4 linked regions of the Pelodiscus sinensis genome follow. The protein of the gene in region 1 interacts with the protein of each later gene in a biochemical or structural test. Links are inferred from orthologs where the notes say so. Each region holds a gene or a part of one and is shown on either strand. Other genes may lie near its edges. The genes, in order: PDZK1, ABCC4, CFTR and SLC15A5.

The links.
Region 2: the proteins of PDZK1 (region 1) and ABCC4 form a complex in vitro, tested with the Homo sapiens proteins (2 studies listed by BioGRID and IntAct, with this or other methods). The link is inferred for Pelodiscus sinensis from reciprocal best matches to the Homo sapiens genes PDZK1 and ABCC4.
Region 3: the proteins of PDZK1 (region 1) and CFTR form a complex in vitro, tested with the Homo sapiens proteins (2 studies listed by BioGRID and IntAct, with this or other methods). The link is inferred for Pelodiscus sinensis from reciprocal best matches to the Homo sapiens genes PDZK1 and CFTR.
Region 4: the proteins of PDZK1 (region 1) and SLC15A5 interact in a test that uses a peptide from one of them, tested with the Homo sapiens proteins (2 studies listed by IntAct, with this or other methods). The link is inferred for Pelodiscus sinensis from reciprocal best matches to the Homo sapiens genes PDZK1 and SLC15A5.

Annotation. Positions count from the first base shown.
Region 1 is NC_134711.1:163,351,147-163,358,976, forward strand, and holds the start of PDZK1 (Na(+)/H(+) exchange regulatory cofactor NHE-RF3), read right to left. Parts: upstream 3,011-7,830; 5' UTR 2,869-3,010; intron 1-2,868. UniProt on the Homo sapiens protein: A scaffold protein that connects plasma membrane proteins and regulatory components, regulating their surface expression in epithelial cells apical domains.
Region 2 is NC_134711.1:251,544,690-251,551,787, reverse strand, and holds the start of ABCC4 (ATP-binding cassette sub-family C member 4), read right to left. Parts: upstream 3,015-7,098; 5' UTR 2,616-3,014; coding exon 2,542-2,615; intron 1-2,541. UniProt on the Homo sapiens protein: ATP-dependent transporter of the ATP-binding cassette (ABC) family that actively extrudes physiological compounds and xenobiotics from cells.
Region 3 is NC_134711.1:45,169,626-45,177,007, forward strand, and holds the start of CFTR (cystic fibrosis transmembrane conductance regulator), read right to left. Parts: upstream 3,021-7,382; 5' UTR 2,901-3,020; coding exon 2,848-2,900; intron 1-2,847. UniProt on the Homo sapiens protein: Epithelial ion channel that plays an important role in the regulation of epithelial ion and water transport and fluid homeostasis. Mediates the transport of chloride ions across the cell membrane.
Region 4 is NC_134711.1:112,673,375-112,680,968, forward strand, and holds the start of SLC15A5 (solute carrier family 15 member 5), read right to left. Parts: upstream 3,012-7,594; 5' UTR 2,340-3,011; coding exon 1,964-2,339; intron 1-1,963. UniProt on the Homo sapiens protein: Proton oligopeptide cotransporter.

The sequences.
Region 1 (7,830 bases):
AAACTCCTTTGGATGCACACCTACAAAACTGGGCTGTGCTAGCACAGAGAAGGCTTTGTGGGTTTGGAAAGGGGTTTTAAATCTTTTGCTGCTGGTCATTAGAGCACAAATGTCTAGATAATGTGCTTATACCACAATCTTAACCTGTATTCTCAGGTACCAAAGATCTCCGCCCACTACCTATCTAATTGCCAGATCTTCCAGCTTTCTGCCCTGATGACCTCTACAGTGCAATGATGTACAAAAATATTTTCACACTTTGGAGGAAGTTACATATCTTGAAGGAATTACAGAAACAGTAGGTTGCTGTATGGACTGGGTTCATTACTTTCCATTTAATTCATTGAAAAACTCAAGTTTTTAAGTATTAATTGATGCTGAATTTCCAATCTGTTGCCCCAGCCTGCCATGCAAACCAGAGCACTTTCTGGCAGAATTCAGGGCCAACTGACTGTGTAGCCAGATGGGTCTTTGGGATATTACTAGTCGGTGGGATGGAACTCTTCTTTTTTTTTTCTTTTCTGTGCCTGACCATTATAAAATGCACAACAAGGGAAAATGTAATACATGGGAAATAAGGTTCACTCTGGGGAGCAGGTCCAGGGGGAGGCAATTTCACTGTTCAACAGCTCCTGCCAAAGAGCTATCCTAGTGAGTGTTGTGGTTTACTAACACATCTTTCTCTGACTGGCTCTTCAAAAAAATCTGTGTAATTATGTAGTTAATGACTGATAACCCTTTGGATGGACTTTTGTCTGCTTATCACTAAGAGAAAAAGCTGTCATGTGACCAAGGCAAGCTGTGATGTACAAATTACACATTAATCGCAGCCCAGATAAATACGGTCCATGTGATCACCTGTCCTGCTGTAAAGATTTCCTAGGTACTCTGTGTTTCTCTCCTTATGCGCCAGACCTTGTGGATGATATATGTAGAAACTCTGTCTCGTTTCAGCTGTCTGGTATTCTAATCAATTCAGGTTTGTGACTCTGAACTACTCTCTCTGACCACCCACAGGATGCTAGCCTAGGTCAGCAGAGTCCATGAGAAGCTTTGTGACTAGAGAGAGAGCTATTCAAAATAAATTGGGCTCGTTTATAAAGAAATAGGCCCATGTTGCAGGGATGGTCTGGCCTGGGACTTTGTGGGTGTGGAGATAATTAACAAGACTATTTCTAAGAAGCATTGACAAAATTTGTCCAAGATCCCATTAATGCCAGCGAAGCTCTAGCTGCTGACTTGTCCCTCCAAATTGTTCTCTGTATTGTTGCTATCCCCCTAAAGATGGATAGACAGGCCCACATGCACATATCACTCTTAACAATCAGATTATAATCTGGAATAATTATTCCAGATTAACTCTCTGTGTGACCCCTCTCATTCTGGTGCTATTTAACAAAGTCAGAATTTAAGATACTCTTTTTCTTGAATAAGAGTGCCCGCAAAGGTTTGCAAGGAAAAGATGCTTTAAATTCACACCAGATTTCATAATAAGTTAATTTTCATGTATAAACAAGCTCAAAAACAATCTCCTCCTCCCCGTTTATTAAAAGATGATTGCCCCTATAGGTGAAAGGATATGGGTGAGTTAGGTCAGCTAGCATATTGAAAGTCAGATGGGCACAGATGTGTTATGGAAGCTGAAGGAAGATACAGTTTTGTCAGCTTAGGACCCTGCCCATAGCTGGAAAGATTGAATATACTGCAATACTTAGCACTGAACATATCCACAAAAGAGAAATTAAGACTGAAGTAAATTCAGTTGTAGCAGGTGCATCCTTTCCTAAACCCAATTTTGAAAATTTCTCCTGGTAGAGATTCTAATCCCAAACACAGCTCTCCTATAGGTAAAGAGGAGACCACAGCACACAATTTACCTGCCTTTCCTTTGAAAAGTCACGATTTGCCCTGATTCTATCCCCCATGCACTGGTATTATGACAAATCCTCCATGTAGACAGGCAAAGCAACCACTTGCCCTTGTGGAACTGACCTGCTTTAAACTGGAGCAGGCTGCATTTGTGAAAATTGCAGCGCATAGTGGCTTGTTCTAAATACTCTAGGGCAGCGGTTCCCAACCTTTTCCAGATGGGGACCCATTTTGACAATGCAGGAAGACTTGGTGACCCAAGGCAATTCAAAAATGGGGGGAGGTGGGGAGGCAGAGCCACCTGTGGAGACACTTTTGAAATGTAATGGCGACCCATATTTGGGTCCCAACCCATAGGTTGGGAAACCCTGCTCTAGGGCTATGTTTACACTGCCCCCGTTTTGCACAAAAAATATGCAAATGAGGCGAAGCGTGGAATATCGCTGCATCTCATTTGCATAATAAATTAGGCTTCGTTTTTGCGGAAGAGGCTTTTGCGCAAAAACCTCTTTGTAAGAGCTGTTCTTCCGCATTTTTTTTCAGGAAGAATGGCTCTTGACAAGAGAGGGTTTTTGCGCAAAAAGGAGCTGTGTAGATGGCTCTTTTTTGCGCACAAGCCTCTTGCACAAAAACAGAGCCTCATTAATTATGTAAATGAAGTGCTGTGATATTCCATGCTTTGCCTCATTTGCATATTTTTTTGCGCAAAACGGGGGCAGTGTAGAAATATCCTAGGAGTTTTCACCAGTCCCTGAAATAGAGATAAATCCCAGCGAAAACCAAGCCGAAGAAATCTGCAGGTGCCGGAAATGGCAGATATTGAACTCATGCACCTCAGGGGGGGAGTGGGGAAGCTAGCATGGGGCTTAATGCTAATACTCCTTTTGCTGCACAAAAGCTTTGAGGAATAGGGGTAAACAACCTAAAAAGGTAACCAGGGTAGTAACTCCTGGGAGGTTTGGGGGCAAGGGTTAGTAAAGAAAGAAGGGAAGTTCTTACCCGTGTCTGCAGGGTGCTGTCCCCTAGGGAATTCTCAGCAGTCTCTCCTGTGGCTTTGCCTGTAGGTACAGCTGAATTTGGACTGTGCAAAGGTTGAGTTAAAAGATTATCTATTTAACTGAGTCTTACTTCATGTATTCACCTCCTTGATAACCTGCCTGCAGTGGTGCAAATCACTTCTCCTTTCTCAGCAACTTTGAATTCTGCTCTGGGGTTTTATTGATCATTATACTGTCAAACTCAGACTTTTACAGGGAGCAGATCCAAGATAAGCCTGATCTTTGCTCTTGGTAAGAGCTTTCCCCTAAAACAGACAAGGGCTCACATAGAGCAGATCCAAGACAAGTTTCAACCACTAGAAATGAGCATTGGCAGGCAGGCTCTGGTGACAGGGACTCAGCTATTGGAAAGAACGCGTCTGTTGTACCTCTACTGGTTATAGTCTCCAAATTAATAACTGCCTTAGTTACACTGTTGCAAAATGGCATTGTGAGGTTCCATGGTTAATATCTGATTGTTTCCTTAGCAAATCAGCTCCGTTGACAAGGAAAAGTAAACTTAAGATATTTGCCTGTGTAACCGTGAGCAAATTTTCTGTGGAATCAGCAGTGGGGCCAACAGCCTTGCTGGGCCCTGAGCAAGGCAGAGCCCCCTACTCTGTGCCCCTGGAAGGGGCGGGGCCTCAGGTGGAAGGAGGCATGGCTGTGGATAGCCACCTTTCAGCACTGCCTGGACCACAGCCTCCCTACCCCTCCTCCCAGCCCTCTGGCAGTGATTTAAAGGGCCCAGAGTTCCAGCTACTGCGGTAGTGGTAGATAAGACCCCAATACTCTTTTGTATTGCTGGGCCCGACAACAGTTGCTCCTTTGGCCCCGTCCTCTCCATGGGCAGGCCTGGGAATCTGTGATGCATTATATCCATGTCTGTTATGAGCTAAAGAATAGGAACAGACAGTCCCAAGAGGCTAGAGGGGTGGAAGTAAAAGGCATCGAAATCTGTCTGAATATTGCATTAATATGATCTTTGCATATAGGCAGGATGAATGTGGAGATGCATGAAAATCTTCCTTCTGGATGTTGGGCATGGGACTCCATATGCATTCTGAGGGTAGGAATTATTTGTATTACAATAGTGTCCAGAGGCCTCAATAAAGATTGAAGCCCATTCTGGTAGGTGCTAGACAAACACATGGTAAGACAGAATCCCTGCTTCAAACAGCTTGCAATGTAAACAGGTGAGTGACAAAGGCTAGATAAGGAAACAGAGGCAGAGAGGTGAAAAGCAACATGTCTGAGGTCACCCAGAAGTTGTGGAGGTGGGACTAGAACCTAAGTCTCTAGGAGCAGCATGCTATTTGGGTAATGTGTCGGGAGGTTTTGTTGATGCAAAGTAGCTTCATTGATATTCACTAAGGGCCAGTTGACTCAATGAGCTTGGTGGATACAGATGAGGCTCTAACAGCCCATGTATTGTTTTGAGAACAGTAATTTGCGCCTCTATGGGTATGTCTACACTGCAGGCTAAAGTCAAGATATGCAATTTCAGCTACATTAATTGTGTAACTGAAGTTGAAGTAGCTTAACTTGGCTCTTGGCGCTGTCTACGCATCAGGAAGTCGAAGGAGGAACTCTCTTGAACTTCCCTTGCTCCTTGTGAAACGAGGGTTACGGAGCTCGGACTAAGAAGCCTGTTATTTCAAAATAGTTTTGAAATAATGGGCTTGCTGTGTAGACACACACTCTGTTGTTTTGAAATAAGCATGCAGTGTAGACATAGCCTATAACATCTTCCAACTGAAGTAGAGGCAGAGATGGCCAGAGGGGCAGAAGAAGGGGGGTAGGCTGTGTGGGTAGGTTCCAGAGGGCAAGCAGGGGTTTGAGGGAGGTAGTGTTGGGGAGTGTCTACCAGCTGAGGGTGAGGGATTGGGATTCTCTTCCTATGGTGAGTGAGTTATAGGAAAATTGGTAAATGGGAATGGGGCTGGCAATGTTCTTTGGGAATGAGTGTGGTGGGTTTGACCCAGCAGCTGGGTAGGAGAATGCATGTGGGTGCACGAACAGTAGAGCAATGAGGTCAGGGCATGGGGCTTTGTGGAAGGATGAGGGTGCAGTATTGAGTGAGTAAGCAAGCATATGGGCCACATTAAAGCATAGACAAGCTAGGCATGTGCCTAGGGCCAATTTGGGGGAGGCAAAGGGAGTCAACCAGAATTCCATTGCACTCTGCATCAGGTTGCAATGCCAATCACTCAAATTTTAACATACTGTCCCTCCTTCATGGCAGAGGGGCCAAACCTGAGTGGGTAGTGAGGTGGCCAGTGCTAATGCTTTTTGGCACTGCAGTGCAGCTAGTTTCTGCACCAGACATCCACTGGAGCTTGACTGCCATCCAGGCTCCGGATGGGGGAATGGGCTGAATTAATAGGCATCATGTAATTGCCTGAAACACCTGGACCTCATAGAATATGTCTAAGGTTGCTGATTTTGGTTGGGTGATTTCCTGGAGGTTTCATCACATGACAGTCTTTAATGAAAGATTAATCTTTAATTCCTGGAGACTCCAGGACAATCCTGGAGGCCTGGCAACCCTATATACCTACACAGCAAGTGGCAGGGATTCTCAATGCCCGAGACTAGAGACTTGAGCTCATGTTACAGTGCTAAAAATAAAAAACATGGACTTTGTAGCTTAGGGAGGAGTGTGTGCTTCATGGGTCATGCCACAATGTCTATACTGCTGTTTTTAGCACCATCACACAAACATGAAGCTGTTGCCCCAGGCTCTGAGACTTTCTGCCACTTTGTTGTATAGATGCCCCCATAAGAGGGGCTGGAGGAACTGATTTTGGGGGAGGAACTACAGTGAGCAAGTTATACTCCTATAAAGGGGCCCTGAAGCAGGGTCTTCCAGAGCAGGGAAGACTCAAAGATATCCCAAAGGGGCCAAGACTGTAAGAGGATTTCAAGGAAAGAGCTTGGGAGAGGCCCCTGCATCCCAGAAAGATTAAAAGATAGCCTGAGCCCAGAGGGTGGGCTGAGGGGGGCCCAAGCCGGGTGTGAAAGAATGTTTTGTTTTGTTTGGACTTCTCTGATCCCAGAAGAGAATTGAACTCTGAGCGTGACCCAGCTAGAGGGCTAAGCCACGTGAATCCCAAGGGCAACAGAAAAAGCCTGGTTCCACAGGTCAATTAATACTGGAGTACTTTTTATCTACTAAGATTATCATTAAGCTGTAAAATGCTTCTGAAGATTTGTGTTATAAAAGAATAAAATTTTAAAAAATGGAGGCAGGGAGTGGTTGCAGTGCCACATTCAGCTGGCAAGGAGAGGCACATATTTGAAACCTGAAGTGTTGCTGATTAATACAGTATCTTGCTTATCTATATCTATCAACCTCCCCACCTGCACACCCTATGGGAAGGCTGGTTTACAAGCATATCTCTAGAGCCCTGCAAATCCACAGATATGCACTTGATATCCACAGATGCGGATATCCATGACTCATTTTTGCAGATACGGGTGCAGCTACAGATATCATTTTGGATCTAGAACCAGGCATAATTTGCAGATACTTGCCTTATGTCCATGGGCAGGGTTCGCCAAGTGGCGGCGAGCCCCACTCGCCAGCCGCACAGTTCTGCAAGCCGCGCATGTGTAGATCGCGCTGCGCATGCGCAGATCGTGTGACGCTGGCTGTGCCGGCTTGTAATCTACTCGCCACAGGCGAGTATATTACATGATTTGTCAAGCCCTGTCCATGGGCATCTGTGGATCATTTTTGCAGCTGTGGATCCCAATTTTGTCTCACCACAGGGCTCTACATATCTCTGCCATTGTGGGGTCCAGATGGTTAGTTCAAAAATAGAAAGTTGATATTCACATAGAATCACCTGATTCCAGGAGCAGGAGCGCTAAGGAAACATCAAGTATGGCACGACTTGTCAATACAGAGGCAGGACAGTTTAATACTGTGATTCTAATATTCCAAGACAAGCAGTGAGTTCCATTTATAACAATGACAACCTTGTCATTCTCTCCTTGATTAATTCATCTTTACCTAAATCCTGGCTGTGGTAGCTCAGGGCCTGGTTAGTGCACTTGCTCGCTCTTGTTCCTTCCCATCTTAGCTATTTGCCTTTTCAGGTTCTCCCATCTGCTAATATTTATGTACCCCAGCCCTGGCCCCCTGAGCCACCGCACAGCAGCCAGCTTTAGCTGCAGCATCTGCCTGCACGTGGCATGAATTTCCCAAGCACTTTGGGTGGGAGGGGAAAGGGACCAGCCAGTAGCCAACGGGGAAACTAGTGGGAGGTGGGTCTAGTACCTACAGCTGGGCTCTGCCCCCTGCCACACTCACCACCAGCAGCAGGCCAAGTGGAGCAGCGGCCCCAGCTTGCAGTGCTCCTTTGGTCACATCTCTTACGGGACAGACGGGACGGCTCCACACTCACTGCCGGAAAGCAGAGCATTGGGGCTGAGGAAGCAGAGCAAGCTAGGGCCACCTTGCTCCACTTGCCTCACTGCTGCTGGTGAGTATGGGGAGGAGGGAAGAGGACAGCCCCTGCTGCCAGCTCTGCTAGTCCCCGAGGCCGCATAGCTCAGGGGAGTGGAAAAAGGTGGAGCAAGGGTGGTGAGAGGCAGGACCTGAGATGGAGGGGAGTTGTCCCAGCCTTTCCTCAGGCTGAGGGGGCACATGGCTGGTGCCCCCTCCTACCATGTTATGTTTCAAGCTTTGCTCTGCAACCATGTAGACTAGAATTTTGGGGTTTTTTTTTTTTCTTTTAAGGGGGAGCAGAGGGGAGAGAAATCAAGGATCTCATACCCCATGACTCCAGGATCTGGGAGCTTACAAAACACATCCACTCTCACAAGCCTTGCAGTAAATCAGAATAACAGATAATTTCAGAATTAATCTGGACTTCTGCATGTTGTTTCTGCAAGCTTTGGCACTGTGGTGGAGTTC
Region 2 (7,098 bases), about 88 Mb from region 1:
GAATCCAGTAGTCAGGACTTAAGAAAAACAGCAATTATCACAATCTCCCTCCCAATGCCACTCATGGGATGTAGTTTTGGAGCTTAGGGTACATGTTTTACCATGTATTAGTGCACAAGACATTCTGAAGCACAAATAAAAACATTTTTAAACCACATATTTTTAATTACTCCCAATTTGAATAATGAAAACAGACAAGGCAGTGGCTAAAGATGATGGTCTCCAGAGACTCCAAATTGATGGCTCATTTTAACAATTCATGACATACTAATTCTCCTTTGTCCTATTACTGCAGAAATGTTAACTGCCTACTTCAATTGAAGCAGTTTCTAAGCAGTTCCTTAGCAGTCAGTCCACTTTAAATTTAGCCTCAACACGTGGATCCCCAGAGGATAAACGGAACAACCAATAGTCAGGAACGATACTGTAGGAAGCAGCCAGCTAATAATTGGGTATTGCTTTGCAAGATTCCCCAGAGAGCCACGTGCTACTTAAGGGATCTCATTTAAAAAAGAAAAAATAAACCAGGAGTTTGCTCGAGGTAGGGTAGATTTCGTTAGAAGGAACAAGTGACTGGTTCGCCTCTGCTCATTGCGTAAGTGGAAGAAACAGCTTGTTTGAAAATTGCTGACAACTTGCATCACAACTGACCTAAGCACAGGTGGCTCAGACAAGAAGCTGTGACCCAAGTAGCACATTCCCTTTTTCCATTTACTACACAGAACAACATCATGCCGGGGGCTGAAATCAGTCCCCAACGAGGCAATTCCGCACAGCAGCGAGCATCGCAGGCTCCCTATTCGCGATGGCGCTGCCGCCCCCCTGCCCTCCCACGGGCGCACAGCATCAGCCCAGCGAGCAGCGGAGGTTGGCAGCTCCACCAGCCTGCCCCCGGCTGTGCGCTCTGGCTCGTCCGGACCGCGAGAAGCGGCCTGGCGGGAGGCTAAAGGACGCGGGGCAGCCCGGCTGAGCGGGTCGCACGGGACCTGACCTAGGCTTGGAGAAGGGGGCTGGTCCCAGCGAAAGGCCCCCGGCCCCACGTGCACAGCCTGCCTCCCCCCTGCTCTGTCCGCGGTAACACTCCCCCCCCCATGTGCACAGCCTCCCCCCTGCTCTGTCCGCGGTAACACTCCCCCCCCCCACGTGCACAGCCTCCCCCCTGCTCTGTCCGCGGTAACACTCCCCCCCCCACGTGCACAGCCTCCCCCCTGCTCTGTCCGCGGTAACACTCCCCCCCCCCCACGTGCACAGCCTCCCCCCTGCTCTGTCCGCGGTAACACTCCCCCCCCCACGTGCACAGCCTCCCCCCTGCTCTGTCCGCGGTAACACTCCCCCCCCCATGTGCACAGCCTCCCCCCCTGCTCTGTCCGCGGTAACACTCCCCCCCCCATGTGCACAGCCTCCCCCCCTGCTCTGTCCGCGGTAACACTCCCCCCCCATGTGCACAGCCTCCCCCCCTGCTCTGTCCGCGGTAACACTCCCCCCCCCATGTGCACAGCCTCCCCCCCTGCTCTGTCCGCGGTAACACTCCCCCCCCCCATGTGCACAGCCTCCCCCCCTGCTCTGTCCGCGGTAACACTCCCCCCCATGTGCACAGCCTCCCCCCCTGCTCTGTCCGCGGTAACACTCCCCCCCCCCCATGTGCACAGCCTCCCCCCCTGCTCTGTCCGCGGTAACACTCCCCCCCCCATGTGCACAGCCTCCCCCCCTGCTCTGTCCGCGGTAACACTCCCCCCCCCCATGTGCACAGCCTCCCCCCCTGCTCTGTCCGCGGTAACACTCCCCCCCCCATGTGCACAGCCTCCCCCCCTGCTCTGTCCGCGGTCACACTCCCCCCCCATGTGCACAGCCTCCCCCCTGCTCTGTCCGCGGTAACACTCCCCCCCCATGTGCACAGCCTCCCCCCTGCTCTGTCCGCGGTCACACTCCCCCCCCCCATGTGCACAGCCTCCCCCCCTGCTCTGTCCGCGGTCACACTCCCCCCCCATGTGCACAGCCTCCCCCCTGCTCTGTCCGCGGTAACACTCCCCCCCATGTGCACAGCCTCCCCCCCTGCTCTGTCCGCGGTAACACTCCCCCCCCATGTGCACAGCCTCCCCCCTGCTCTGTCCGCGGTCACACCCCCCCCCCATGTGCACAGCCTCCCCCCTGCTCTGTCCGCGGTCACACTCCCCCCCCCCCATGTGCACAGCCTCCCCCCCTGCTCTGTCCGCGGTCACACTCCCCCCCCCCATGTGCACAGCCTCCCCCCTGCTCTGTCCGCGGTCACACTCCCCCCCCCCCATGTGCACAGCCTCCCCCCCTGCTCTGTCCGCGGTCACACTCCCCCCCCCCATGTGCACAGCCTCCCCCCTGCTCTGTCCGCGGTCACACTCCCCCCCGCCAGCCCGGCCGGCAGCTCCTGCCCGGCTCTGTCCAGCGCGTGCCCGGGAGGGAGCCTGAGCCCCTGAGCGGACCCTGGGCGCGGGGCGAGCTCCTGTGCGCGCCTGGCTCCGACGCCTGCTCCTGGCGGCCCGAGCAGCCCGCGGGCCGGGGACTCACCAGAAGAAGAGCCGGGAGCAGAGGTTGGCCGCCTGCAGGGGGTTGGGCTTCTTCTCCCGCCGCGGCGCCTCCATCCCCTGCTGTCACCTGCAGCCGCCGCTCAGTGCCCGGCCCGCAGCATGCAGCTGCCGGCAGCCGCCGCCTCCCCAGCCCGGCGCCGCTTCCGGGAAACCTGACACCCAGCCCCGGCGCCCTCGCACGGCCGGAGTCCGCCAGCAGCCGCCGGGGCCAGGCATCGCCCGGGCACGATCCCCGCGAAGCGCTGCCCCGGGACGTGGCAAGAGACGTGCTGGAGCGTGGGCGGTCAGCGCCGGGAGACCTACCGCCCGCCGGCAGGGGGGCTCGGGCCTGGCCTTCAGTGCGAGCAGGATTTCAATAAGCCTCCTTTCTTCCAGCTCCCGCACACGCGAGCCCCCTCCTGGCTCCGGCTACAGCTGCCCAGCTCCCCTGAGGGGCCGCAATGTTTGCAGGATTTGCGCCTTAGAAAGTTAACGGGAAGCCACAGGAGGCCAGCTCCATGGGGGCAACGACCTTAGATCAGTGGGGTTATAATCTTTCATAGGTGCCCCTGGAACTGACTGGATAAAGTATCAGTCTCTGTAGTTGTGGATTGAAGTCCCATCTTGGTTGTCTTTATATCATGTTTTCTGACAGGAGGTGGAAATGGGCACCAAGGGAGGCTTAGGTTGGACATTAGGAAAAACTTCTTAATTGTCAGGGGACATCTATGCTAGGAAGTTAGTTTGAAATAACTAGATTCAAAATAACTCCTGAAAGAACTGTTTCGAGATAGCTTATTCCCCAAGAAAAGAACTAAAAACTAGTTTGAATTAGCATTTTGCTAATTCGAACTAGCATGTCCACATTAAGTGGACCCTGAACCAAGGTTAAGGATGGCCGGAAGCAGTGCCGGCAGGGCATCAGAGGAGGACTTAGAGTGTGGAGATGCTGTCTCAGGCTAGCCGAGGGCTGTGCTTAAAGGGTCCCGACCCCCACCCCGGAAAGACAGTTCTCAGGGGTGCCCCGCTTGCAAAGCAGTCCTGGCTTGGAGTGCCCGGAGTACCCACACTAGGCACATCACACCACTCAGCCATCAGCTCAGCTGCACTTGCCACAGGCTGCCATCTGGGGAGAGGGGGCAATTGGGAGGCTGCAGGAGAGCTTCCACCTCCAGAAGCCCACAGAGCCAGCCCAGTCCTCCCCATCAGGGGCTCATGCCCCATTCCTCCCTCACCTCCTTCCACTTACCCTTCCCTAGCCCCTCTTCTTGATGTACAAAATAAAGATAACATGTCTTCCAAAATGGAATCTGTCTTTATTGAACAAAACTGGGGGAGACTGGGAAAAGGAGGTGGGTTAGGGGAAGAGAGAGGCTGGGAGAGGGGAGGGCAACTAAAATGATCAGGGGTTGGGAACAGGTCCCATATGAAGAGAGGCTAAAGAGACTGGGACTTTTCAGCTTAGAAAAGAGGAGACGGAGGGGGGACAGGATAGAAGTCTCTAAAAACAGGAGTTGGGTGGAGAGGGTGCATACAGAAAAGTTTTTCATTAGTTCCCATAAAGAAGGACTAAAGGACACCAAAGGAAAGGGATGGGTAGCAGGCTTCAAACTAGTAACAGAAAGTTGTTCTTCACAAAGCAAAGAGTCAACCTGTGGAACTCCTTGCTGCAGGAGGCTGTGAAGGCTAGAACTGGAACAGAGTTTAAAGGGAAGTGAGATCAAGTCATGGAGGCTGGGTCCATGGAGTGCTATTAGCCAGGGGGTAGGAGTGGTGTCCCTGGCCAAGGTTTGTGGAAGGCTGGAGAGGGATGGCACGAGACAAATGGCTTGGTCACTGTCTTCGGTCCATCCCCTCCAGAGTCCCTAGGGTTGGCCGCTGTCGGCAGACAGGCTACTGGGCTAGATGGACCTTTGGTCTGACCCAGGACGGCCATTGTAAGCTCAGGGCTCAGGGACGGGGGTCTCACTGGACCCCCTTGATTCTCTTGCACACCTGCTCCTGGGTGGCCAGGCTGGCAGCTCTCCTGCCCTAGACGGCCACTTTCCTGTGCCTAGTGCGGAAATCGTGGACAAGGTCCAGACATACCCTGGATCACTGGAATAAATTGCTTAGAGAAGTTATGGAATCTCTATGTAGTCTTCTATGATTCTTTCTTTTGCAGGCCTCTAAAATTGTGAATAGAGCTAGGGCTTTTTTGGAAATCTTAGACATAGTCTGTGGACCTTCCCTGTTGGAAACCACTGCCTTAGCCTGGCAGCTCCTTAGGGGAAGCATAGTTTTCCTACATGTTTGTACAGCACCTAGCCCCTCTTTGCACTACTAAAATACAAATAAGCACTAATTAGATTTTGATGGACAGTTGCAGGTTACCTACCAGCCCTGTGCTCCTGGAGAGCCAGGGAGTGACATTCATGGAAAACCATCCTTCCCCTTCTCCTAGGTTTGCTAGAATCAGACAAAGCAATGAAAAGGCCAGGGAAGATACACCTAAACTAATTAAGGAAACACCCCAGCCTCATCTGCATTGAAGATAGAACAGAGGGACATCTTATTAGCATACAGAATGGAGACCAGCTCTTCCAAAGCAGAACCGCACTGAACTATGGGATACCAAAAGCAGAGAAGCACTGCCTGATGGGAAATCTCTGCTCCAGATGCTAATGAAGCCAGGCCTGCTCACACCCCAATTAGTCATTATCAGACCAATTCTAGTAATGGAACCTATTGACATCCAAAATATTGAAACTGCCTAGTTGCATTGTGAGTTTGTTCAAGGAACATCATCCATAACCAGGGATGATCAGTCTCTATTGTCCCGCCTCTTTTTCTCTTTGAACTATTGTCCTATCCCTATAAAAACTCCTACCCTGTCCCAAGAAAAACTGTTCTGACACCTGGATTTAAACTGAATCAGTTCCATTGAGAATTCATCATCTCCTGTCTGATCGTGCTGGGGGCTCTGCTCTGCTTATCTCCTGCCCTCTAGACCCCCAGCTTCTATCACCATCTGGGAATTCCGATCAGTGCATGCTCCACGGAGTGGTAAGGTCTCTCTCTCTCTCCCTTCCTCACCCCCAACTGCCTCTCTAAGCATAGTCTCCTGACCCTGACCTATGTAAACTGTTATATGGTTACCAAACATTTGTAATCAGTTTCAATTTAGATTTAATATTGTAACTGTTTCATATCTATTCACTACCCAGAAAAATAACTTTCATTGTTAAGCTGTTTGCTTCTCTCTCTTTCTTTCTCTTTCACTTACTCTTCCTCAAGGGGTGTTGTTTTGGCTTCCCCATTCACTCTGCAACAACACTTCTTGCACCCAAGCTAAAGATCCCTGTAGTGCCCAAAATCCTGTGGGGTTTGCTCATCGTGTGGTTTACCAGTGAATTACTGTGGTGTGAAAGTGGGGTTAGGGGGTGCTGAACCTGGAGGCTTATGAGTATGGCAGCTTAAAGTGCTGTTTAATCCAGCGAACTGAGTTTAAAGGCTCATGATGGTGCAGTGTAGCATTGCTGTTAACCCATCCTGCTGAATCCAGGGACATATGAGGGGTCAGCTTGTGAGTGCTGAGTACCCAGTCCTCTCAGACATGCTCTGGTAGTGGGTGTGAGTGTCTGTGTGTGTTGCTAAGGTGGGAAGAATCCCATCCTGAGGAACCTAGTTCCTTCAGGAGAGCTCCAGTGGGAGGGGGAATTGACAACAGGGAGAGAATTCAGCTCCATATGAGAGCACAAGCAGCACACTGATAGAATTGATAGAATTCCCCAGTCCCATAAGAGTAACCCTAATAAATGAGCATACCCCATAGTATTGGGCAAATCTAGTAACAAGATGGAAAGCACCCACCTCCCTCATACTTAAAGGTATCCACTAGACTTTAAAAATTATAAATAAGATAAATATAACTGCTTATTACTTCTGAAACATTTTATTTAAGCTTTCCTCCAGGTACTATCAGAAAAAAAAATTATTCCCAAATCTCAGTTCAAGTCCCTCATTAATTGCTGTGATAAACTTTGTGTGATTTGGATGGCACATAAATAAAGACTTTATAGTCTGAATGTGCAAGAGTAAAACACAGTTTTGAAATTGATTGTCCTACAAGATATATCAAGAACAGCTTGTGCCAAACAGAACTTCTTTAAACAACTTTAAAGTGTGAATTAAGTTCATCCTCACAATGACTTTTATAACCATAATATGGTATAGCTAAGCCTCTTTATTTTCAGTTTTTATTTTACTTCGTTTTCCCCAGGAATTTATCAGTGTTTATTACCAGAACAACACAAACAGGTGAAAATCAGTGCAAAAAAACTTTTCTGGATAAACATTGAAGGGCTGGATGGAAAGATGGGGGGAAAGTATGCAGTAAATGAATGCTATGAATTTGAATTAATGCTTTGAATTTTAGAAAAGACTGTACCCTTTCCATTGTTTGGCAGCAGGCTTACAGAAGAAGATGAGGAATCTGTTCGTTGGGTCAGGGTTGAAATCAGAACCTTACATCTAAAACAAAAATTGAACTTGCATTTTTGGTATACTTGGAATATTT
Region 3 (7,382 bases), about 120 Mb from region 1:
TAGTTACAAACTAAGATCCAAATTCCTTACTCAGCTATGTTCACATATCTCCCAAGCAGGACACATGCATCTAAGCAAAGAATCTGGCCACAGGTTTGCAAAAAGTAATATATTACTTAACATTTCATATGCTGTCGTCAGATAGCTGAGAACCACTATGATGAATGATATGTTTATCACTGAGACTCCCCTGGTGGATAGTATCTTATCTGCAAGTTTCACCACAGTTATTTCAAATGGTCGTACAGTGACCTTCAGTCTACTACATTACATCGAGATTGGCATTTTACAAATACAAAGCCAAGAAAGAAGCAGAACCCAGTACAAACTGTGAAAGTGAAAATGTCTTAAACTACATGAAGACAGATTATAGGACAATGTTAAATAATTGTTGTTTGAAGGAAAAGTAACTTTCTTCCATTTCATTTTATAAACAAAGGAAGTATTGACTTCTTGATTTTATTTCAGCTGCACTGTTCATGCTACACTAGAATAATAAAAGCATCAAACCTGGTACATGGGATAGCATAAAAGGCACATGCTTAACCTTAAGTATATTCTTAAGTGCTTTCTAAATGAGAATGCTTTCTAGAACAGGGTTTGCTCTTGTTATGCAGATACAATTACACACCAAAATGAAATTCTATCATTTTAGAAAAAACACAGCAAAATCCAATATTTAACCACAAATTTATGGGATGAACCAGTTTATTGAATCTACAAGTGTTTACCTAATGCTATACAAGAGTATTGTTCTGGTTTTGTAAAGTTCATCACACATAGTATTTCTTAAATTCTTTTCACTTCTTATAACTAGATAATTTCACTTGTTGCTGTATGTCAGCTTGCTTTCTAGCAACTACAATAACATATTTCCCCCCAGAAATTTATCCTGACCCTATGAGATAGATACTCTGTTTGGGTAACTGAATAGCAAAGGCATGTATTTTCAAATAAACCAATATACTTTCATAGTTTAAAAATGTTAGCTTTTGAACAAATTTAATAAATAAAAACTATGTATTCTGGCACCCTTCTAAAAGAAGAGTTTTGATGCAACTCTTAATATTCACCATTTTTACATCTAACTAGTGTTAGCCTATTGATGTATCAAATAAAACATTCCAAAAGCACTGAATCGTAAAAGGGATGATATATGTTGAGAAGGAACAAAGAAATCATTTGTAATATAAATGTCCTAGACAACAAATAAACAAAAACTTTGTACTACACAGAAATTTATTAGTTTACCAGTTTCATTCACTGTGAAAGTATGCCCGTATTTACATTTTTTTGTGTTTATTGCAAAGAAAGTTTATTTTCAGTGGGTTGACTTTTCTTCTACCACACCAATTAGCATTATAAAATGGTTTACATATTGGTGACAAGGAGAGAAACATTGAGTATATTTCAGCATGCTTTTTTTTTAATTGCAGAGTAATAAATGTTATATTAGTTGCATTTATTTCAGTTTCACAACAGGCCTAATCCAAAGCCCACTGAAGTCAATAGAAAGATGCTCCTTCAGTTCAATGGACTTTGGATAACTCAAGATACTTAAGCAGATGCTTCACACTGACCATGTGTTTAAGTCCTAGTTCAGACCAGGGAACTTTTGCCTAAAGAAGGGATCAGAGATCATTTTTTTTCTTGGAGTATATTTTTTGAGGCTTAAGCATCAGAGATTCTAAGATACTTACTCTATGATATGTCCCAGAAATAACTAAGATGAAAACAAACTAGAGGCTGGACTAACCTCCCAAAAATATTTTAAAAGAGGCAAAGTTATCCTGAAATCTAGCCATTTTTAAAAAGTGAGTCTGAGGGGTCACACTTGCCAGAAGCAAAATGCAGGACTATGTAGCACTTTAAAGACTAACAAGATGGTTTATTAGATGATGTGCTTTCGTGGGCCAGACCCACGTGGGTCTGGCCCACGAAAGCACATCATCTAATAAACCATCTTGTTAGTCTTTAAAGTGCTACATAGTCCTGCATTTTGCTTCAGCTACACCAGACTAACACGGCTACATTTCTATTACACTTGCCAGAGTCCTCCTGCCATTCATAAGCACAGTTTACTATTTTATAAACTGATTTTCTTACCCCTATTGATGCCTATAGGAAGCAATAAGGAAAACTTTGTAGCTGCGTGAAACCGGGTGCACCCAGTAGGCTGTCAGAGGTACAAAGTTGGGGAAATATGGAGGACGATTTTTGTCTTTCTAATCTTGCTCCCGTATGATCTCAAGTGTTACTTGTCACAGCTCCTGGTAAGGGATTCTCAGATGTGTGATTTGTATGTGTGTACTGCGTGTGGTGATGGTGGTGGAGGAAGGGGACGAAAGAGAACACGCAAAAAGAAGAGAAAAGGGGCCACGGACTTTCAATCCATCAGGACTCGTCTGACCGAGATCTGTGTCTAGGGAGTTGACCCTAAAATCACTTTCAAGAAAAGTGCTGGCGAAGCAAATTCCCTCCGGAGTTCTCACACCTTGCAGAGAAATGCACAGCCGCCTGCCGCGGTTTACCCAGGGCTGCTCAGATAGCCCGCTCTGAATTCACTCCCTCAGGGAGCATCGATGGCACGAGCTGAAGCGGTGTCCGCCCCTAGTGTTCAGAACACAGGCACGACGTGCCCGGGAAGACCACGGAGCGCGGCGCCGGCGGCAACAACCTGGGCAGCGCGAGGCGAAGGGGAGCAACCCCAGCCCGACTCCGGCCAGGCGCGCGGCGGCCGCAGCCCGGGGGCTGAGGATGCAGGATCCGAGGGACCCCGCCGAGCCGCATGTCGCGCGCTGCCGCCCGCCGCAGGGCCCGACCCCCGCGCCCGGCCCCGGCTCTTACCTGAAGAAAAGTTTGGAGAAGACGTTGGCCTTCTCCAGGGGGGAGCGCTGCATGGTGCCCGGGGCCGCGCAGGGAGCTGCAGCGGCGGCTACTTGCGAACCTCTCCCGCGCCCGCCCCGCTCCTGCGGCTCCCCCACCTTATGCACCCTGCCCGCGCTGATGTCATTGGCTCCCTCCTTCCCCTGCCCCTCTCCCCGCCTCTGCTGTGTCCACGGGCCCGGCCTCCGGCCCCCGCACCCCGCCTGGCCTCGCCCCTCCGGCCCCAAAGGAATCCTCCTCCCAGTCCCGCCCGCCGCCGCCAGGTGCGCGCTCCGGGACCCCAGCCCCGAGTTCCCCCGAGGAGCCCCGCGCTCCAGCGGCTGCCTTGCGGCATGAGGGGGCTGGCCGCGGAGCCTGGTGACGCCCTCGGACTTACTCGCCCCACACTTGTGCTTCGGGGCTGTGTGAAACCGTGAGGCTCCAGAGCCCCTTGGGGTCAGGTCTCCCCCGGATAATCCCCCCCACCCCTCGCAGTTTTCTGGGATCACTCCGACCCCCCCCCCTGCTCCTGGGCTCCAAACGGACCTTTCCTTCCCCCTAGGAAAGCCCCTTCCCCTGCCCAGGTCACCTCTGCGCTTTCTGGGTTGTGCCCAGGGTCTTATTCTCTGCCCCCTGCCACGCAGTCTTTGTCTGGTACTGTGTAACACGGCCCACTCCACAGCTCTGAGCCCAAAGTATTGCTACATCCCATCCCCACCCCTAGCTCGGCTGGTAACTCAAATGCCAAGCACAACACGTTGCCGACCTAAAAGAACTGGCAGAGGTTCACCAGGACACCTGCTATAAAGCCAATTTCGCTCTCTGTCAGCAAATCCTCTGGAAGAGTTTATGGAAAGAAACTCAGACTCCCACTTTACAATGAAAGACTTGGCATTTAAAGCATCAGAAGAAAAGGTAAAACTCGGCGAAATCAGGTGCAAAGGCAGTTGAAATCCCCGCTACTGCCTCATATTTTATAAACTGCTCAGTACACCTTGTTGCGTTAAATCCTGGAAGGCTATTGTTAAAAGTGTTAGGCACACATTGACATTGGACTGGAGCAGATTAATAGGGAAGCAGGCTCTTTGAACTGAGATTTTTATTATCTCGAGGCCTTTGGCAAATTTGTTTACTGTGAAATTACCTGATTAATTTCTGCTCGAAATTAATCTAAGTGCAAATGTTAATACTCAGTAATAAGGATACTCTCATGGAGTGTCCAGACCCCATGCTGTCTTGGCTACAAAAGGGTTACTGAGATTGGGCAACTGCCTGCCTGCTCAGCTGGGGCTGATCAGGGGACTCAAAGCAGCTGAGAGATTTTAAAAAAATGTAGAGCAAAAAGTAGGTGAGCAGCAGCCTTCAGTAACAAGTTGGTAAGATACTCCTCAGGAATATGGACCCTCTAGGGGATGGGACCAAAAAGGTAACTGAGGAACAGCTTGAAAGGTAGGTATGCTAGGTAGACAAGGGTAACATGAAGGAGTTGGAAGAGCTTGATGCTCTTTTGTCATAACAATGGCCATGTTGGGTCAGACCAGAGGTCTCTCTAGATCAGGGGTGGGCAAATATTGGACAATAGGCCAAATGCAGTCCACTAGGGTTAGTCCCTGTTGGGCCCCCATGGCACTGTATTTACCTGCATTCTGCAGGTGTGGGGGATCACAGCTCCCGTTGGCTGCAGACTGCTGTTCCTGGCCAGTGGGAGCTGTGATCACCCATACCTGTGGCAGCACAGGTAAATATAGTGGCAGCAGCCCACAAGTGGCTCACTCTGGGGAACTGCTGCTGTTTTATTGCCCACCTCTGCTCTAGCCCATTCTTTCAAACAGTGACTGAGGCCAGATGCTTTAAAAGGAATTAACAAAGCTGGGAAATTATTGCATGATTTATTTTCTGTCTTTTAGTCCGGTTTCAGACACTCAGAGGCTGAGAGCAGTGCAGAACCTGGGCTTATAGTCATTGATGGACCTACACTCCATGAATTTATCTTGTGTATGGTTCCTAGTCTGGAACCCAGGAAAGTGGGTTCCCTACCAAGCCCATGATGATCAAGAAAAAGTGAGCCATATCCAAAAGAGCCAAAAATTGTGTGCCCCTCAGCCAGGGATATTGACCTCCTAAAATTTTGGACTTTTTAAACTCCTCTTGCCCCTAAAAAAGGTCAAGGGCTCTCAGGGACCTGGCCAGACCTTGTCCATAACAAGGAGTCAATGAGCGGGCTGGAAGGTGGACAGGCCCTCAAAAAGGACACTTACCTGATCTAGCTATGAGAGATGCTGAAGATACTGAAATAAAGAATTATATCTGCTGCATATTTTTACCCTATTTCCATACTGGAAATGATTATCTAACTCACGACTGTAAGAAATGAAGCTGTGCTTTTTTTTTTTTAAACTTCCCAAGAACAATGATACTGGCTCAGTGAAGGTGGGATGTCACACATTTCATAACATTGGCTCAACAAACTATTATTTATGGAGTACAATATGTGTGCATTAACAACAAGGTACCTGGTTCCTGCACCCAAAGAGATTAAAATCTAAACATAACCAAAGTGCTGACAAGCATACAACTAACATTAGGAAAAACACTGATCACAGCATAAGAACATACGGTTATTTTGTTGAGTTATTCATTGTGTGATTGATCCTGGTTTGTTTTGTTTAATACCGTGGTTTTGCTATTTAGACACTACATTTGTTGATTTTGGTTTTTATGGTTTTTGTATTTAAAACATTAGATATGGAAAGGGTAGAGGAGAACTATCTTTCAGCAAGTGCATAGTTGCACCCCTCGGTATATTGTCTAGTACTTTATCCAGACTAGTTGCATCTCCAGCCCCATGCCTTTCTTTTTCCTTGCAATTTATGCTACCATTTAATTAGCTGTCATTCCTAGGATACTTTTACTGATATTTTTCTTTCTTAATTTTATATCATTATTCCTAGTTATGTCCAACTGTACTCCCATAAATAATTCTTCTTCATCTTGGTGTTATTACCGCATAATATATGAAGTTGGTTAATGTCTCCTCTTATGGAGTGGCTAAACAAGGCTTTTTTGTCTCAAATTTCCCACTGATCTTACCTGTGATAGCAATAATAGGCGTGTCAGTATCTTAAGCATTAGGGCAAACTCATCCTGCTTAGATTAGGTCTAGATGATGCTATGCTTGAAACATCAATGGCTGTTAAGCATTGTCTATTCTAGTATTCTCACTGTTGTGCTCACTAGTGGAGCTGAATTGGTGATAGCAGCAGTGTGAGTCTTGAGGAAAAAGGGCTAGTGGAGATGTCCCACTTAATTATTGTTCAGACTTGCGATGAGGCATCTGCCCCAAGGGTTAAATCCAAGCCTGGGAAAAGGCTGGGGCTCTGAAGCAAGGAGCTGCATCATATAGCAGCCAATTAGGGCACAGAACTCCTGCTGAATGCAGGCATGTGTCCTAAACCCTGGATTAGTCATTCTCCTCCTATCCCAGGGTATATCTACACTAGCTCGTTAATTCGAGCTAGATAGGCAAATCAGGCATCCAGAGTTGCAAATGAAGTCCTTAGTTCGGATTAACTTTAAACTGCCGTGGGCAGTTCGTTCAAATTAAGGGGGATTTAAAAATGGCGGCCAGACTGGAACATGCAAATAAAGCCCGGGATATTTAAAGCCCGGGCTTCATTTGCAACTCCGGTTGCCTGATTTGCCTATCTAGCTCGAATTAACGAGCTAGTGTAGACATACCCCCAGTGACTTATTCACAGTGGAACAGCTTCAAGGGGAGATACTAAGGGAATTCCAATTCAGAATATCTCAGAGCTGGCTAGTAAAAGCATCTACCTAACATTTCAAAAGCTGTCTTTCACCTCTTCACTCCCCCCCCCCCCCCCCCACATGGAAGAAGAAAGGGCAATGAACTTGTGTCTCCCACATTGCAGGTAAGTGCTCTAGCCACTGGGATGAAGAATATAAGGCATCTTGTGTGGAGCGTCGAAGGCACCTAACTTATTCTTGCAAGAAATAACTTGAGCACCTAAGCTGACTGCAGCTGGTGAGTCCTTGTTCATGAATTGCTATAAGCAGCTAGGTGCCTCCTTGCAGCCTGCACTTAGGTGCCTATCTGGGAATGAGGCTGGAGAAGTGTATGGTGTGGCTTAGCATGCATCCTTTTCTTCAGCATTTCCCATGGGTTAGTTTAGGAAGCTCCCTACCTAGCAAGTTGTTGTTTGTGGATCACATTTTTAATCCTAGGTATCTCATTCAGCTTTGTAGATTAGTGTTGTTCCTGTGCACATTTTTTTAACCACATAGGTGTCTAAAAGTTAAATGTTGTGGCACTTAACATTATAACCAGTGTTTCCTATAAGCTAGACCCTCATGCAGTCACTCAGGAGTAATTCAGATGCCACCCAGCTGATTAGCACAGTACCCACAGCTAGATATTTTGTTTCTATCCCTGGTTCACATAAAAATTATTCTGCACATAGATGGAAAAAATAGAGGGAATATTGGTTTCAATGCTC
Region 4 (7,594 bases), about 51 Mb from region 1:
AAATGCTTTATGCTGCTTCTGATGGTTGTCAAGGGAGGGTTAAGTGGTCTGATGTAATATATTTGGTATATAGTTCAACAATTTATTCCTGAAAGTCAATTTGTCCTACTTTGATGTCCTGTTTTTTGTAATCTAGATTCAAAAGACAGGGAGGGATATAAAGCAAATAGTTTTTTTCAGGTATTCATAGAGCGCTTTAGTACTCTAGACAAAGTGGCTTCCTTCTGCCTTCTTTCCACTGACCCACCTAGTTCTCTGCATCATTTTTTCTTTCACATTCTTGTGATCTTTTCTCTTCAGTTACCCCCCTAGATGCTTACATAGCTGATGTACATGACCTGGAATTATTTCCAGCTGCAGCAGCAGCACTCTAAAGGAGGTGCTAGCATCCCCAGTGCAGAGATTTCTGAAACATAAGCTGAGGACACCTGCTGCACACAAGAGAATTCCACACAAGAGCTTCTGGATGGAGCTCAAGTGGACAGAAATGTTGCTTGTAGAGAAGACTCATTCAGAAATGATCTTGATTACTTCAACAATTCTGATGCCTATCTAAATAGTAACTTTTTTGCCAAGCCTGAAAGCTGCCTGCAGTCCCTTAGTATAAGTAAATGTGACTAAGTGTATGTTTCAGCTATACATCAAGTGGTTAGTTATGCAGTGGATACATATTTTATTAGAGAGCTACGGAAAAATGGGTGAATTTGCAATGTCTGTGTTAACATGGCCCTGGAGTGGTAATAACTTGTTCTACCCTCATCTTCTTCCTGTTTTGTTCACTTAAAACCTGGTGATTTTATGAAGTTACTTCTGGTAGATGTGTAGTTTGAGCCACAGGCAGCATCATCAGAGATTGACTGTTACTCACAGCAGGAGAGTACAACAAGACACTGTCTTAAGGTCCCTACTTTACCTCAACCCTGACCTAGAAACAAAAGGCATACAAATTGTATTATCTGATCAATTTAGGCTGAGAAAGCAATTGTCAGCTGTGACATTTACTAAATTGCATGTGACAGTTGTACAGAGGGAGCAGAGCCTTGCAAACTCAGTTTGGCTAGGAAAGGGTGTGGCTCTACTCCTTACACCACCTAATCTCCTTCACAATCCATGCAAATAGCTAATGTTTTAGATTGTTTGCTCCCCCACCACCACCACCACCTTCCAGCCACTCTGTGAAAGCTCTTTAGGAGCTCTCCATACATTACATGTGTGTGTGTGTATATTGAGGGGACTTCAGATATATGGAAGATCACGTGCCGGTAACATTCAAACGTAAGTTATCTAAAAAAATATTTAGAAAAGGGGATCCTGTGCTGAATATAAACAACTCCATTGGGTGGAGTGAAATATTTTTAATATGAGTCAGGCCTTAAAGGTGAGCATACAAGTATTGCTTCTGGATTCAAGTCAAAGTTTGTCTACCCTTATTACCCAAATGTAACGATCGTGTAGTTTTAAATACTGCCGAACCTCAAATTTGTGCCAACTGGAGAAATGCATTGAAAGTTGTAGTCCTGAGCAAGTGGCATTTTCCAAAAGAGATCAGTGACTTTGGGTGCCCTACCTGATACCTTAAAAGGCCTCACTTTCAGAAAAATCCGTAGTGCCTGCTTTCTGAAAAGTAAAACCACTTTACAGTGTCACAGTTTAGGTTCTCAGGCTACAGCACCCAATCCCCCCTAGTCACCTTTCAAAACATCTAGGCCTTATTTTACAAAGATTGTTTCACAAAGTTTCAAAATAATGCTTCATTAAGATATATTAGTACATTTTGTGAAAAGAAAAGTTAAGCCCTTAGCTAGTAGAGAAGTTTGGTGAGGCCACCTGGTTGAAAAGAATCCCTGGATTTGCATTTATATGATGAACAGTGAATTTCTATGGTACTTTAAAAAACTGACACAGAGCAGAGTTGCATACAAAAAGCACATGCCAGGTGAAATGATCATGGCATAGCACCTACCTAGAAAGTGGAGAAACATGCAGATATACACCAGCTTCATCCTCCCCACCAGCTGTTCAGCAATCCAGCCCATTAACACAGGTGACAACATGGAGGCACCTACAAAGCACATGTTTATGATGGCTGCCTGGTGGTTGGGATAACCAAGTTTGATGGTGCAAAATAGAATCATGTTGCAGACAATGCCAAAGAAAGTGAATCTCTCGCACAGCTCTATCAACAGTAGGCAAATAGCCACCTGAAGTTTCTTCTGAGAGTTGAACCCAGAGGAGACTACAACATGCTTTTCTTCTCCAGAGAATTTCCTTTTCTCACTCTCGGCAGTGTGTTCCAGAAGTTGTTTTTCTTGTAAAGCTCTCAGGTCTGTAACAGGCATACTTAACTGTTCTTAGCAAAACTAAATTGAATGGGTTAGGCTGTATGTGCCTTCTGTTATCCTCCACTGTAATTAACAAACTGGTAAGACCCTTGCTTTGAATTCCACACCTTACTACCACAATTCCTCAGGGTACCTATCACTTTAGTGCTGTTACATTAAAGATCAAGGAACACAGGGGATACCAATATTTAAAACTTCTGAGTGCACAATAGTTACTCAATCCAATCTGTTTGTTTGGTGGTGAACAAGACTTTTACCCCTCCCTTCAAAATAATATTACCTCTTAAATTATGTGTATCTAATACAATTTGGCACATATTGTATCTGCATGTTACAGATAAAGGTTTAAATACTGAGGAAGGCTAAATTGTTTCAGCAGAATTCAAGTACTAGATCAAGAAAATAATGTGGAGCTAATATTCTCATACCTTAATTAAGCAACAAGTGAGAAACTGCAAGCAAAAGGCTAAAGATAGAAAGAATGCATGTTTTTAGGTGAACAATATCTTATCATTATTACATTTCTTGTTATTTTTGGTAGAAATTCAGATAAGAAAGTTAATTAGAAAAGTAAGAAATGCTAGCACATTGAATACAATAAAACAGGTTTTACAAGAAAGTAATTCCATGTAGTAATGAAGAGAAAAAGCAATAAAAAAAACACCGAAAACAAGCACAGCTTCTCTAGCCTGACCTTTTACCACAGCTAACACATGCCATAAAGAAGCAGAATGAGGAAGACTTCGGTTCCTGGATGTTAACTTGATAGTTTATGAATAGTTAATAAAGATAAATTGGGACAAGTCTACAGCATGTCTCCCCCAGGCACTCCACTAAGAAGTTTACACAACATTAGTCCAACCTCCTGAATCTCCACTACCATGCATGGCCATTTATACCTGTCCCAACTGGTAATGTCCTGCACCCACTTTGTACAAGTGTAAATGACTGCACATGGTGAAAGACAATGGTGAATCTGACGCATGTTTCTAAAGAACACTATCAAGCCTTTCACTTTGCAATCTGTTGAAACAAAGACTCTTTTCAGTTTCATTTAACTATATAGATACTTAAACGCACACATGATTCTCACCCTTTAGCAGATGTTATGACTACGTATTATAAAGTAATAGAGATGCCTGATAGTATATAGATCACATGTATAGGCCCAAGTCAGAGGTCCAAATCCAAAATTCACTTAACTTTGGTATCAAGACTAAAGGTTACTGCCCTAATTTTCTGTAATGGCCATTAAATATAAATCCAGAAGCCCTGAATGCAGCAGTAGAGCCAAGCATCAGTAGAGCCTCTTTCTCAACTAAGGGTTGAATTCTCATAATTCAAATGAAGTTCTAAAGCCAGAACTTGGCTAAAGGTATCACAGAGTCTGCTTACTTCTGGGTGGGACTGGGGGGGGGGGGGGGGGGATGAGGGAATTTTGTATCATACCAGTACATATGCCTGCCACATTCCCTAAAAGGGACTAGAATGTATTTCATTCTTTTTTGATGGCTGGAGAAAAAGCAAACTAGAGGGATTACTTATAGCCTCAGCTGGTTTTTATTTCATAGTTTAATAAGCCTGGTCCCAAACCACACCACAGGAAAGGAGAAAGTATTGTGACCAAAGAGTAGACGCACACTCTATCTTGGGGAATACCCCTTACCTAGCTGCAGATGCATTAAGGTGCCCTTTTTTTTACTCAACTTGAAGATAAAACTGTAGTATAGACTCAGATTGAAAACACTGTGGTAAATACACTCTGCCTTCTATGCACAATTCAATAGTGAACATTCCCTGCTCATGTGTAGATTTTTGTCTTTAAAAGATTTGGCCAGGGGGCACCTGTGTCTTACTGGTGCTGCTGATTGAGGGCAAATGAGATTATAAGAAGAGCAGTAGAGCTAGATGGCTTGCCAGTTGGGTTTAATTACAACAATTCCTTGTTTGATGATAGTTTGTCTGATCCTGGGGTCAGGCAGGGAAAACAACTGACTGGTTGGCTGGTTAAACACCATAAAACCACAAAGTAGCCTGAAACAGTTGTGTGGGAATGGGTTTCTATGTATGTGATTATTTCAGAAATGGGTCTGCCTCTGGGAGAAGTGAGTTGAAATGTTTGATGGTGAGCCCTGGGGACCATGTGTTCTATTCCTTACTCTGCTGCATTGTCTGGACCAAACCCTTTAATCTGTTAGCTGGTTTATCCCTTAATATAGTAGTTAGAATACTTAATGCAAAGTGCTTGAGGAAAGGAGTCAGTGTAGCTAATATCTTTAGGGTTACACTAGTATTGAACCAGATGCGATTTTAAGTGTGAATCACCAACACAGGCTGAGGACTGAAGTGGGTTCAAAGAGGAGTCCTGCCTCTGACAAATCTGTGTGGGCCCCAACCAGGCTGACAAAAGGATTTAGAATGACTAAATTATGGGATATGCTAGTGGGGGGGGGGGGGGTGTCTCCTTCAACTGAATGTGTTCCATTTTAATTAACTAACTGAATAACTAAATGTTAATTGGGCCAGACTCACCCTCTAGTCTAATGGTTAGACACCCACCTAAGAATTAGCAGAGCTCTCACTAGGCAGACTAGGGACTTAAACTGAGGTTTTACTCACAGCAGAGGCAAGCACTCTAATTGCTGGGTTGCAGGTTGTAAGAGAGGTGAGCCTCATCCTTGCCTGCCTTCATCCTGTCCATTTTACATGGCCTCTGAGTCCACCTACCCAATCACCTGAATATGGATTAGGAAGAGAAGTGCCTATCTTCCCACAGTCCAAAAAGTGCACTGGGGCTTATATGTGAGAGGAGTATGTGGACTTCTTGAGGGATGCAGCAATATACATGCACCCAGGCAGAAACATAGGCACTGCGGGAACTTTTACTGCACAAACTTAGGCACCGAGTGACCTGAGGCACCTAAGAGTCAGGTGGTAGCAAAGTGAGAGTTTTGTGGATCATAGTGATGGGTAAGTCAGGGGCATAAGGGCCTTTGTGGATCTGGGTCTTGAAATCCTTTAAAGACGCATCTTTAAAGAGATAGCTCTGTCAAAATGGGACAGCTGGTTCCTGAAGTGTTATAAAAGTATTTGTTCTCTCCTAGGTGCCTAATGATCTCAGCTGGTGTAAAAGAGACTGCTCATCAGTACAGAAGGGCTACGTCTACATTGGCAAGATTTTGCGCAAATACTTTTAACGCAAGAGTTTTTGTGTTAAAGTATTTGCGCAAGAAAGCGTCTACACTGGAATGTGCTTTTGTGCAAGAGACGTGCTTTTACGCAAAAGCATCCATGCCAGTGTAGATGCTCTCTTGCGCAAGAAAGCTCCGATGGCCATTTTAGCCATCGGACTTTTTTGCACAAGAAATTCATGTTGCCTGTCTACACTGGCCTCTTGCACAAGAACACTTGCGCAAGAGGGCTTATTCCGGAGTGGGAGCGCCATAGTTGTAGCACAAGAAGCACTGATTTCTTACATTTGAACATCAGTGTTCTTGCACAAGAACTCACGGCCAGCGTAGACAGGCGGCAAGTTTTTGCACAAAAGCAGCCACTTTTGCACAAAATCTTGCCAATATAGACACAGTGGAGTTGTTATTTTTGTGTAGGCCATCTATCAATTGATGAGCTCAGCACCAGAAAGATGTTCTTTATTGGTTCTACAGCCCACTTAAAATAGTAGGGAGTGACCAGGAAGTAGCCTAGGCACTTGCATGTTGCTCCAGTTACTGACTTACCACCTGCTTTGCCTTGGTTCAGTCCGGTTGCCAATCTGGTTGTGCGGCTACAGGATCTACACTTCTGCTCATATGATGGAAAAGTTACACTGTGTTGATTGTTTTCATCTGCTATTCTTATTTAAACACAATACAACTTTTTTTAAAGAAAATATGAAAAATGTTGTAATGCACCCTAACACTTGCTGTAGTTCTTGCCAAATTTCTTGTTGAGAAATGTCATGGACATTTTGCTGATGTGTTTGGCACTACAAGTGTAATTTTTAAAAAACTCAGGCCCAAGGATTTGCTCTGCTCAGGGTTGCAAAACCAAGCTTACTTAAGTTTGTAAGCCTCATTTTCAAAAGCGATGTAAGCTGAGATCCTCAAAGGTGCTTAGATGCCTAACTCCTATTGATTTTTTCAATGGAAATTAAGTACCTTTGAGACTCTTACACGTAGGTGACCAAATCCCATTCACTTTCAGAGAGACTTAGGAGCCTACGGGTCTAACTCACTTTTGAAATCAATGCCAGAATTCCAGTTGACTTCAACGGGACAAAGTTTCGGTCCTGTGTATACAGATCTAGAGATCGCAATGTGATGAAAGGGGTGACAACTTCAGTGACAGAAAACAAGAGATGTGATAATTGAGGCAAAGACTAGAATATCATGTTTTTGAGAATTACCACTTTAATCTTTCCTGAGAATAGTTTAATTTAAAGCAGGTAGTAGCTGTGACTAATTCATCTCCCTGCCAACAAAGCATTGTTCCCTGCAGGATGTCTTCTAGTGAGAATAGCTGACTAATCATCATGCTAGACAGCCACTGTTCGTGACTACTTTGGAGTGCACTGTGTCTATTTCCACACCTCAAAGAAAGAACCACTCTTCTTGTTCTCTCTGCAGTTGGAAAGGAAAACCTAGACTAACTTTCAGTCTGTCTAGGACACAAAAATACTATTGGGAAACAATGGTCTTTGACAGTCTGAAGATAACCTGCTACTTACAATCATAAAAGAAACCTCAGGAGATCGAGTCCAACCCCCTGATAAATGCAGGACCAACTCGAACTAAATCATCCCAACCAGACTTTGTTGACACAGGACTTAAAACCCTCTAGAGATGGTGATTCCCCCACCTCCCTAAGTAACCCAATCCAGTGCGTCACTACCCTCCCAATGAAATAGTTTTTCCTAATATCCAACCTAGATCTCCCCCACTACGACTTGAGACCATTGCTCCTTGTTCTTCCTTCTGTCATCACTGAGAATAGCTTCTATCCATCCTCTATGTAACCCCCACTTCAGTTGAAGGCTATTATCAAATCCCCCTCCCCCTCCGTCTCTTTGGCAGATGAAATAAGCCCAAATCCCTCAGCTTCTCCTCATAGGTCATGTGCTCCAGACCCTAATCATTTGTGTTGCCCTCCACTGGACCCTCTCCAATGTGTCTACATCCTTTCTGTAATGGGGGGGGGGGGAGGCGGAGGACAGAATAGGATGCAATACTCCGGATGTGGCCTCACCAATGCCT